Oryzias latipes: one gene and its partners. The protein of the gene in region 1 interacts with the protein of each later gene in a biochemical or structural test. Links are inferred from orthologs where the notes say so. Each region holds a gene or a part of one and is shown in the gene's direction. Other genes may lie near its edges.

Region 1 (3,500 bases):
TTTGCAAGAGGTCAAGGTGCCCACTTTTACCCCCCGTTCTGGGGTTAAAATTCACGTCTCAGACCAGGAGCTGCAATCGAGCAACTCTTCTGTTGGTAAGACCGTATTTATGCACAAGACAGCATTGAAAATCTTTCAGAAATGTTTGTGTATAATTGTCTTTGCTGAAGGCCTATTGTGACATGGATCTCTTTAATGCAGATGACTCTAAACTGGAAGAACTAAAAACCAAATTGCCGTCACCAGAGTCTTTCCAGTTCAAATTAAACCCCATCGAGTTTGAAAAGGTACTCAATTTCTTTCACGTCAGACATAATCAGTCTTTCTTTGATCGTCATGTTACAAATGTTTGTCATTTCTAAAAAAAAATGTAAAAAGTAATTCTGTATATTTTTTTGTTGTCATCAAAATAATACAGGAACGTAGAAGTAAAAATCGATTTACTAGATGAATGAAACGTGAATGTCATTATTAGTTTGTATGTCGTAATAACGTGATTCTCTATGCAAATGAACCCCGTTGTGTGTTTGTATTTAGAAAATGTCATTCTATTTATCACTAAATTACCCCCTTTTACTTGCTACAGCCTCATTTATTTTGTAGTGTAGGAAGAACATGGATCACCCGAGAAGAAATGTTTTAAAAATGGTTTTATTTCTGCCCCTCCAGGATGATGACACCAACTTCCACATGGACTTTATTGTGGCCGCATCCAACCTTAGAGCAGAGAACTATGACATTCCGCCTGCAGACAGACACAAGGTGGGCTAAACATTCACATGACCTCATTTGGCCAACTAACAAGGGCGTCTTTTTGTTTTTTTGATTCTCGCATAGCAAAACCTCTGGGCAGAAATACTTTAAGTTTTTTTCCCCTGTTCTTTCTCTTTCAATAATGTATCTGTCTGAATTTTTCTGGACTGGTGAAGGGAGGAGTCATTCGGTCATCTTCTAATTTGTTTATTCCCTTTTGTGGTCACGGCGATGCCAGAGCCTATCCCGCCACTTGCGGGTGAAGGCTGGGGACATTCTGGACAGGTCGCCAGTCTGTCGCAGGGCCCCAATCACACCCATGCACTCTCACATTCACACTTATGTGAGAGACAATTTAGAGTAACCAATTAACCTTGGAAGGAGTGATTGTGACATATAAAACGTCCTCAAACTTGGTCTGTATGTTTTTTATAAATTAGAAATGTTAAGCAAACCAAAGTGAGTGTTTTTCATTCATTGTTTAACCTCCGTTCATTAGCTGATCGATTGTGAATTTCTCTTTTGGTTTACTGTTCTTTCCAGAGCAAACTGATTGCCGGCAAGATCATTCCTGCCATTGCCACCACCACCGCTGCAGTTGTTGGCCTGGTCTGCCTGGAGCTCATCAAGGTCGTGCAAGGACACAAGAAGCTTGAGACGTACAAGAATGGTTTCATGAACTTAGCCCTGCCTTTCTTTGCCTACTCTGAGCCCATTGCTGCTCCAAAACATAAGGTGAGGTGTTGCTGTTTTATCCCACAAGTTTGTAAAGATTATAAAACGTGTGACGATTGTGACACAGTGATAAAGTTTTAGTCTGCTTCTGGCTCCTGTGATGATTCAGCCATGCTAATACTGATGCATCAGTCAGCTGCATTAACTCTGACTGGATGCAAGTGAGTTCAACTCACCTTCTCACACTGGTGTGATCAGTGTGTGCTGAGGAGACGTGTTTACCAAATATGCGCTTATAGCATTGTTGCAGCTCTGTGTGATGTCTATTTTTTTTACCTACAGTAGCTGTAACTTTATTTTTCATTTATTTCCAGTACTATGAAACTGAATGGAGTCTGTGGGATCGCTTTGAAGTAACAGGAATGCAGGCCAACGGTGAAGAGATGACACTCCGCCAGTTTCTGGATTACTTTAAAGTATGTTCAGCAAATTTAGGTGCTTCTTCTCCAACTTTTTTTGTTTTTGCAATGAGTAACTTTGTTTTTTCTCCCCTGTTTGGCAGAACGAGCATCAGCTGGAGATCACCATGCTTTCTCAGGGAGTGTCCATGCTCTATTCATTTTTCATGCCCGCTGCCAAGCTTAAAGAGAGGCTTGACCTACCGTAAGTAACTGCATACGCGAGAGTCCAGCCTCTTTACGTTTTCCTTCCACAAACTGAGTTTTTCCTGTTCTGATTTCTGCAGGATGACTGAGATTGTGACCAAGGTGTCCAAAAAGAAGCTGGGCAAGCACGTTAAAGCTCTGGTGTTCGAGCTCTGCTGTAACGATACTTCAGATGAAGATGTGGAAGTGCCCTACGTCAGATACACCATTCGCTGAGCCTCACCCGGAGACCACCCACAGGAGGGTGGTAGTTGCTAGGGGGGGATGCAAGGAATGGGGGTGTTCTTAGTGGGGAAATAGTGGTGTGACAAAGGGTGGGTGGATTGATCCAGATCGGCTCTATTGGATCAATTGGTTTCCTTTTTTAGGCCCGTGGTTTGTTTAAACCTGTGCCTGACTGTACATAGCCCCAGTAAGCTGACAGAAGGATACCTGTCTGTGTGTTACAGTTCCACTCTGTGCTTGACTGTGGGAAGAGGAGATTTGTTGGAGAGAGGGAGGGAGCATGTAAATTGGACATCCTAATGTTTTTCTGTAGTAGAACCTTTAAACTTCAAAAGCCTCGGTGCCCTCATTGCAAAGCCCAACTAGTCTGTATGTACAATAACACCTAACTATCATTCTGAAGCAGAGCTTTCAAACACACCCTGCTTGCTCTCCTCTCTTCTGGAGCCCATTTCTAATAGATCTGTCCCCTCATACTGTTACTTTTTAATACATGATTTTTTTTTTTTAAATCAAGGCTATTCAACAACGTAAAAACCCAATTCTCCCTTTATTTTTTGTTCCTCAACTGGAAATGGAATTACAGCATCAAACTGATGAATTTCCTTCCCTTCCTTCACTTTGAAGCACCCTCAAAGCCTCGTTTCAGCACTCTGGCTTTCTTCAGGCTGCTGCACACCACAATAGTTTTCTCTTGATGCTCTCCATGTCATGTGTTTTGTTCCATTTTATTTTATTTTCTGGGAGGGGGGGGTGTTTGGAAGGAGTTTTGGCACACAGTTGGTAGATCATCAAACTGTCTTTCTACTTTGTTAACTCCAAAATTAATTAAATCTAAGAGCGAAGCGTTGAGATGTATCTTGAATGGGAGCACTTAGTGTTATAGTGAATAAACATGGAAAAACTCGCCTGTGTGTCTGTCTTTTCTTTTCAGTTGATTCAGTAAAAATGTGTGACGTTGATTTTAATTATGTGTGTTGTCTGCTTTGGTTATTGAGTCTAGTCTGGTTTATGCTGCTCAGCAGTGAAGTGGAGCATCACATGCAGGAAATAAGCTTCACCAGCTAAAAGACTGGTTGACTATTTACTGTGGAAAAAATGTCTGTAGGTTATGTGATATTTAAGTTTTCTAAAACTAGATCAGTTGGTAACCACAGTCTAATATGACACTCTACGTCAAAT
Region 2 (3,500 bases), on another chromosome or scaffold:
TTTTTCCTTTTTTTTAAATAAACATATTTTTCTTAAGAGCAGAAACATTTTGGTGTAACACATGCAAACAGATAAGAATTAAGGACAGGCAAACTCTTTTTCACTCCACCGTGTGTTTTTATAATACAGAAAAACACATTTGTTGAAATTAGAGAAGGATTATTACTGTTATATTAAAATGTTTTTTTGATTATTGATTTATTAAAATGACTTTGCCTCATAGATATTTACCGTATTTAAAATAAATGCTGAACGCATGGCTGCCCGCTGCTTGACTATTCCAACTTCTCCAAAGCTCAGCCAGTTTATTCTAGTGTTGAATGGCTCACACATTATTCGTTTTTTGTTTTTTTTGGAAAACCTTTAATAACAACTTGGATTTTAACTACATCTGAGGCTGTGTCTACCACATATGTAATGGCATTCGGTCTGTTTCCAGAACGGGGATGTGTGCATCTCCATCTTGCACCCCCCTGTTGATGATCCACAGAGTGGAGAGCTACCTTCTGAGAGGTGGAACCCCACCCAGAATGTGAGGTAATTTCCCAGTTCAGCCTCCCTTTATGTTTCTCTCCCCCATAGAGAGAAACATAAAGGGAGACATAAAAGAGAGGTTTGGTTTTCATTTCTTTTATTTTAAAATTGTCATATTTGGTCTGTAAACCTCCTTAATTACTTAGACCAGGAAGTATCAGAACCTCAATGGAAATATACTCATTTTCTGCATCGACTTCACATGGTTTAGCTCGTGCTGGTTTGCGGCACCTTCCATCCTTGAAACCAGGGTTCGAATCTGGGCTGCTCCTTGTTCCCCTTCTCTGCTTCTGTGCCGGTCCCAAGCCTGATTAGATTGAGAGGGTTGCGTCAGGAAGGGCATCTGGCGTAAAACATTGCCAAGTTTACCATGCGACTCATCCTCATAAGAGAGGTTGTTTCACTGTGGCGACCCCTGATGGGAAAAGCCGAAAGTGACAGAACTTCAAATGTTTTGCCAGCTCAAAAAAAAAAAAAAAAAAACAGCCGCCACTTCTCATTATCAGTAATAGTTTAAATGCATTTGGAATCGTTTTTGCTTGGGTGGATTTCACTTAACATAGTTTTAGTGCCACGTAGTCAATAAAAGTTAAAAGAATCATCCCTTTTACCCACTTAATTTAATATTGTACCTTGTTAATGACATCACAGGCATCTGCAAGAAACAAAAAAAAATTTATTGTCACAAATAGAATGTGCATCTTAAATAATTGGCATACCTGCCAGATTCATTGCCACTGTTGACCAGTGATGGATAATTTCTATTCGATGAAGTAAGTAACTAAGTTTTTGTTGTAAACCCCACAAAATGTTAAAAAAAATATGGGCTTGCAAAAGTGAAATGTTGTTATTTCTCACAGAACTTTTCTGCAGTAAAAACTAGTTTACCAAAACTCCATATCAGTCATATGCATCATGGGAAATGAAGTTCTTTTCCCAAGACAATACTCAAATATGATTTAACTTCTCATGTTCAGCATTCTTCATGTCATTGCTTGAAATACACCAATCAATCAATAAATACTAATCTATCAAAACACATGTATTCATTGAAAGCATTTCCAGCAGTAAACAAAGCACAGAAGGTCATTTACAGAAGATTTTGAGGTGCAAATCAACATTGGCCCTGTGTGAGCTTCTATGTGGCGTGCCTTCGTTTTGTGTGGAGCTAAAGGGGAGATGCCGCAGCAGGGATGGTTTGTGCATCTCCTCTAAAATTTAGCATGTCAGCAGGTTGAAGAGAGTTGAAGTAAAATGCTGAGTCTGTCTTTTGAAGCCAGAGCGGACTGAATGCAGCGTGTAATTGAGCCACATGGGGGGGGGGGGGGGGGGGGGGGGGGGGGGGGGGGGGGGTCTGAATGTGCCAGAGCGAAGCCTTTGAAGCTTTAAAAAGGCACCTTTCTTTCACATGACGTCCAAATGAATGTTCTCATTTTCTTACCTGTTTGTTTGTCTTTCATTGTTTGTGAGCAGGACCATTCTGCTGAGTGTCATCTCTCTGCTCAATGAGCCCAACACCTTTTCCCCCGCCAACGTGGACGCGTCGGTTATGTTTCGCAAATGGAGGGACAGCAAAGGCAAAGACAAAGAGTACGCAGAGATTATTAGGTACTGCTCTGTCTGTGACGAAGCGTAACCTGCAGTTGATGCTGCTTGATGATAATCCATTCATTATGAAAAGAAACGCACACAAAAACTTCAGATTCATTTATGCTTTCTTCTTTAACAGGAAGCAGGTGATCTCGACGGCAGCGGAGGCGGAGCGGGATGGAGTCAAGGTGCCGACCACATTGGCAGAGTACTGCGTCCAGACCCGGGTTCCCTCTCAGGACAGCAGTTCCGACCTCCTCTACGACGACCTGTACGACGATGACATGGAGGAGGAGGACGAAGACGAAGATGAGAGCGACATGGAGTCTGTAGGTGAGGCGGGGGGCCTTGGCACCTCGGAGGACGGGGATACCTCCACCAGACGCTATGACAACCAGGACGACTCTGGCAACGAAGACTCGTGATGATCAGAGCGGTCCATCTTTTCTCCCCCATCACCCCTTTTCTTTTGTCAGCGTGTGTGTGCGTCTGCAAATGTTTGCACACACAGTGGGTTCAAAAGTCTACTGCCAAAATTTTCTTTCATCATTTATAAAACAGCTGTTAGTAAATGCTTGTGAGCAGCAGTCCTCATAAGTCAAAATTCGGTGTTTCCACCGTTTGCCTTAAATACAGCTTGCACTCAAGATATTTGCAGAATTCATGATTAAATTAGTTCACAGTTTTTACAGTTAGTCCTTACAATTTAGAGTGTTCAATCATCAGTTGACATCATTTTATCTTCTAAAATCTTGTTCTGGGACAGAAAAGTTACTGAATCCACATCAAACATTATCCCCCAAACCGTAAGGGTTACAATTAATGAGCAAATTAAATGAAACAAACAATTGTGAAACCAGCTTAGTGAAAAATCTACTAAACAAATCTTTGCTAAAACAAACCACATCATTCAGTTCAGTCAGTTTGTTGTTTTATTGATTGATTTATTATAATAGATGTGTTGCTATTTTTCCCCATCTGTAAAGCTGTTCAGACTGCACCATACAGTCCTTCAGAGAACAGATTGACCAGTGCTTCAAAATAAAGGTCTACCATCATGCAAAAATGAATTACATTTTTCAATATACAAAAAAATTGGTCAAATTTAAGGATTTCCTCCATTTGTGTAAAATAGTTATCCATATTAAGAATTATTATTCCATAAATCAGCCTGCCAAAATTACCTTACTGTCTAATTTCACACTTTATGTTGAAGCTCAGGCCTAAACTTATTATTTACAGCAAAAGTTGTAAAGAGAATTCAACACATTTTTCTATTCTGTCTTATTTGATTGGATTTTCTACATTCTTGAATTAAAAAGCATCTTCTGAGTTCAAAACAAACATGAACTGGTAAATGATGAAAACATGCTGTA
Region 3 (2,854 bases), on another chromosome or scaffold:
TCCTCGCGCGCCACGCCTCCTTGCCAGTGACCTGCCTTGCAGCGTGCCTCTGCCGTACCAAAGCTTTGGTCCGGAGCAGAATGGTCCGCTTGATGCCAGTCTGAATACAGACCAAACGCAGGGTTCAGGACTCGATCCGGAACAAAGGATTTTCCTAGTCTAGACATACCCTGAAAGATCAGCTGGTGGAGAAAAGCTCTCAACATTTCCACAACAAAGACCAGAAAATAGTGGAGACTCTATTTTATCCCAACACGGTCTTCTGAGACTTGTTGCTGATTTTCTTGCTGTTCGTTTTTATTACGCCATGAGGAATACAGTAGCAGCAGGAGGATCCAACTACAAGGTCTGTAGGATCCTCTCCACAAGTCCTCGCTCTCTGGTGTTTCACGGAGTTTGAAGCTTCTCCAGGCGATGGGTTAGCCTCCAGTGTCGTTGTTGCGTTTTCTTGGTGTTTGGCGTTGTGAGGCTCTCACCGCCGCATGTGCGTTTGTGTTTCAGGGGCCCCGAAGACACGTGTTTCGAAGGCGGAGTGTTCCCCGCTGTCCTCAGCTTCCCCTCCGATTATCCTCTCAGTCCTCCCAAGATGAGGTTCACCTGTGACATGTTTCACCCCAACAGTGAGTCCGCCCACGGCTTTGTGCCTGCTTTCGTCACCATGGCAACAGATGTTGAGCGCACAAACCTGCGACCGCTTTAAGTATCTGTGATGGAGCAACGTTTGATTTCATCTTCTTGATGACTCAGGAAAACTGAAATTTGGATCTTAAAACCTCCACTCACACACGCACACACACACCCCTACACTCACACACGCACACACACACACACACCTCCACTCACACACACGTCTTGTGTCTTAGCCCGTCTGCAGACTTGTCTCGGCACGCTCCAGAGCTTGTTGCTGTTGGCGTGTTTTTACCGCTCTCTGATTAGTGGGGCCGAAGCCGTGATGTCAGGACACGAGCGCTCTGAGCGCGCTCAGTGCTGATGAGAAGACGAAGTGCTTGTCGCTCATCTTCACCAGCATGGCCCTGAGCCGAACTCCACGCTGCAACTGTTAAAGATGAAACGGAAGCTGCCGATAACAGCGGCTCGGTTTTCAGAGGAGATTTCCTGCAGCTGGACCGAGCGGCAGCGCCCTGAAACCCCCTGCACGGGGAGGGGGTCCAAACAGGATCAGATTAAAGACCCACTCCAATAGAATATGTGGTTTTGGTGTTTTTAAAATGTTTTTGTTGCATTTTTCTTGTGATAGAGGACATAGAGCATCGAAGCTTGTAACTGCCTTTCTTAGTATTTATTAATTTAAATCATGGTAAATCAGGAGCAGATGACAAAACAAAAACGCTCTCAGTTGTGATGTAGAAACTCCAAGGGGCAGGCTAAAGTCTCACTGCTCCACTCTCTTCCAATGCACACACTTCTGGACGACTAGATCCATGAACGTCCTTAAAACTGTTCGGCGGGAAACATCCAACATTTTTCACCATATTTGTTGCACCTCTCAGCTTGGGGTTGTGAGGGGCTGTAAGCTAACGGGAGAGAGTGTAAAAAAATAAAAGACGATACGAAATGAAATATAATCCCATTTAGCAGTTTAAAAAAAAAGTTGCTAAGAGTTCAGAGAAGCTAGAACCGGTGAACTAAAGCGTTCTCCTCCCCCGCCCCAGTCTATCCCGACGGACGGGTGTGCATCTCTATCCTCCACGCCCCGGGTGACGATCCCATGGGTTACGAGAGCAGCGCCGAAAGGTGGAGTCCAGTCCAGAGCGTGGAGAAGATCCTGCTCTCCGTGGTCAGCATGCTGGCAGGTATGGAACTCGTTTGCGTCTGACACCAGCAGGGACTCGGCGCCATTCACAGATTCAACCTGTCGTCCTCAGAGCCCAACGATGAGAGCGGCGCCAACGTCGATGCCTCGAAAATGTGGCGCGAGGACAGAGAGCAGTTCAACAAACTGGCTCAGAAGATCGTCCGCAGGTCTCTGGGTTTATGAGGAGGACGTCTCGTCAGGGCGTCTGTCGGTGAAAGACCATCACCATGGAAACCACCAGCACACAGAGCCGCTGACATGGACAGACTGATGGGAGGGTGCTCGTCAAGGCGCGTCAGCAGCCGTACACTGCATGTCTTCTTACCTCCTCTGCTAGTCTCCTCCCCCAGACTCTTGCTTTAGTGGTCACAGCGGCGTTGGACTTCTTCGGACTTTTTAGACTGTCTGTCTTCGTGACGCAGGATCCTCACGATGCGCAGTTGGGCTTTCACAGCCGGGCCGTCGTAGCTCTGCTGCAACGTCTCCTGTGGATTTGTCTGATTTCACAAATAGATCAATAAAGGCAATGAAAGAGTGAGGTGCTTGTTATGTTGGTTTACTCTCTGCAAAATGTGAGGAAGTGTGGGAATCTGCAGCCGTGAATCGCTGCATAACTTCAGTCAACCAGGAAGGAGGTGAGCAAAGAGGAAGACAAGACAACACAAGACTCTTCAAAGTTCTGGATCCTTCAGATTCTCCTCAAACCCTGTCTGAAGGTTGATCTGTAAGTCACAGTTTCTTAAAGTCAGGTGTTTAGCTTTCAAGCACAACTAAGATTTTAGACCTTTGAGTAATCTTACTAGGATTACAGTTTATTTAAAGAAAACTTGTTGCAAGTATTTCTTTATCCATTTTGTGCTGACTCAGAAGCAGATGATAAAGATGTCCTTTGAAAAAGCTTGTAGTTGTTACATAAATACTATAATCAGTTGGTCTAAAGCTCCCTGCTTCACTGCATTCTGATGCATCCACTTGCAAACAAATAGATCCTTCGTTTTCCTCGTCCGAGCTGGAATCTGGCCTAAAACTGTACGTCTG

The links.
Region 2: of the proteins of uba1 (region 1) and ube2r2, one has a biochemical effect on the other in vitro, tested with the Homo sapiens proteins (5 studies listed by BioGRID, with this or other methods). The link is inferred for Oryzias latipes from reciprocal best matches to the Homo sapiens genes UBA1 and UBE2R2.
Region 3: of the proteins of uba1 (region 1) and ube2g2, one has a biochemical effect on the other in vitro, tested with the Homo sapiens proteins (5 studies listed by BioGRID, with this or other methods). The link is inferred for Oryzias latipes from reciprocal best matches to the Homo sapiens genes UBA1 and UBE2G2.

The regions. Positions count from the first base shown.
Region 1 is NC_019865.2:13,790,528-13,794,027, forward strand, and holds the end of uba1 (ubiquitin-like modifier-activating enzyme 1), read left to right. Parts: coding exon 1-95; intron 96-201; coding exon 202-287; intron 288-669; coding exon 670-762; intron 763-1,296; coding exon 1,297-1,488; intron 1,489-1,580; exon of another isoform or gene 1,581-1,701; intron 1,702-1,802; coding exon 1,803-1,904; intron 1,905-1,990; coding exon 1,991-2,091; intron 2,092-2,173; coding exon 2,174-2,309; 3' UTR 2,310-3,226; downstream 3,227-3,500. UniProt on the Homo sapiens protein: Catalyzes the first step in ubiquitin conjugation to mark cellular proteins for degradation through the ubiquitin-proteasome system.
Region 2 is NC_019863.2:17,248,031-17,251,530, reverse strand, and holds part of ube2r2 (ubiquitin-conjugating enzyme E2 R2), read left to right. Parts: intron 1-439; coding exon 440-537; intron 538-2,007; coding exon 2,008-2,142; intron 2,143-2,263; coding exon 2,264-2,549; 3' UTR 2,550-3,500. UniProt on the Homo sapiens protein: E2 ubiquitin-conjugating enzyme that accepts ubiquitin from an E1 ubiquitin-activating protein, and catalyzes its covalent attachment to other proteins by an E3 ubiquitin-protein ligase complex.
Region 3 is NC_019879.2:26,801,107-26,803,960, reverse strand, and holds the end of ube2g2 (ubiquitin-conjugating enzyme E2 G2), read left to right. Parts: intron 1-501; coding exon 502-620; intron 621-1,673; coding exon 1,674-1,814; intron 1,815-1,886; coding exon 1,887-1,999; 3' UTR 2,000-2,354; downstream 2,355-2,854. UniProt on the Homo sapiens protein: Accepts ubiquitin from the E1 complex and catalyzes its covalent attachment to other proteins. In vitro catalyzes 'Lys-48'-linked polyubiquitination. Involved in endoplasmic reticulum-associated degradation (ERAD).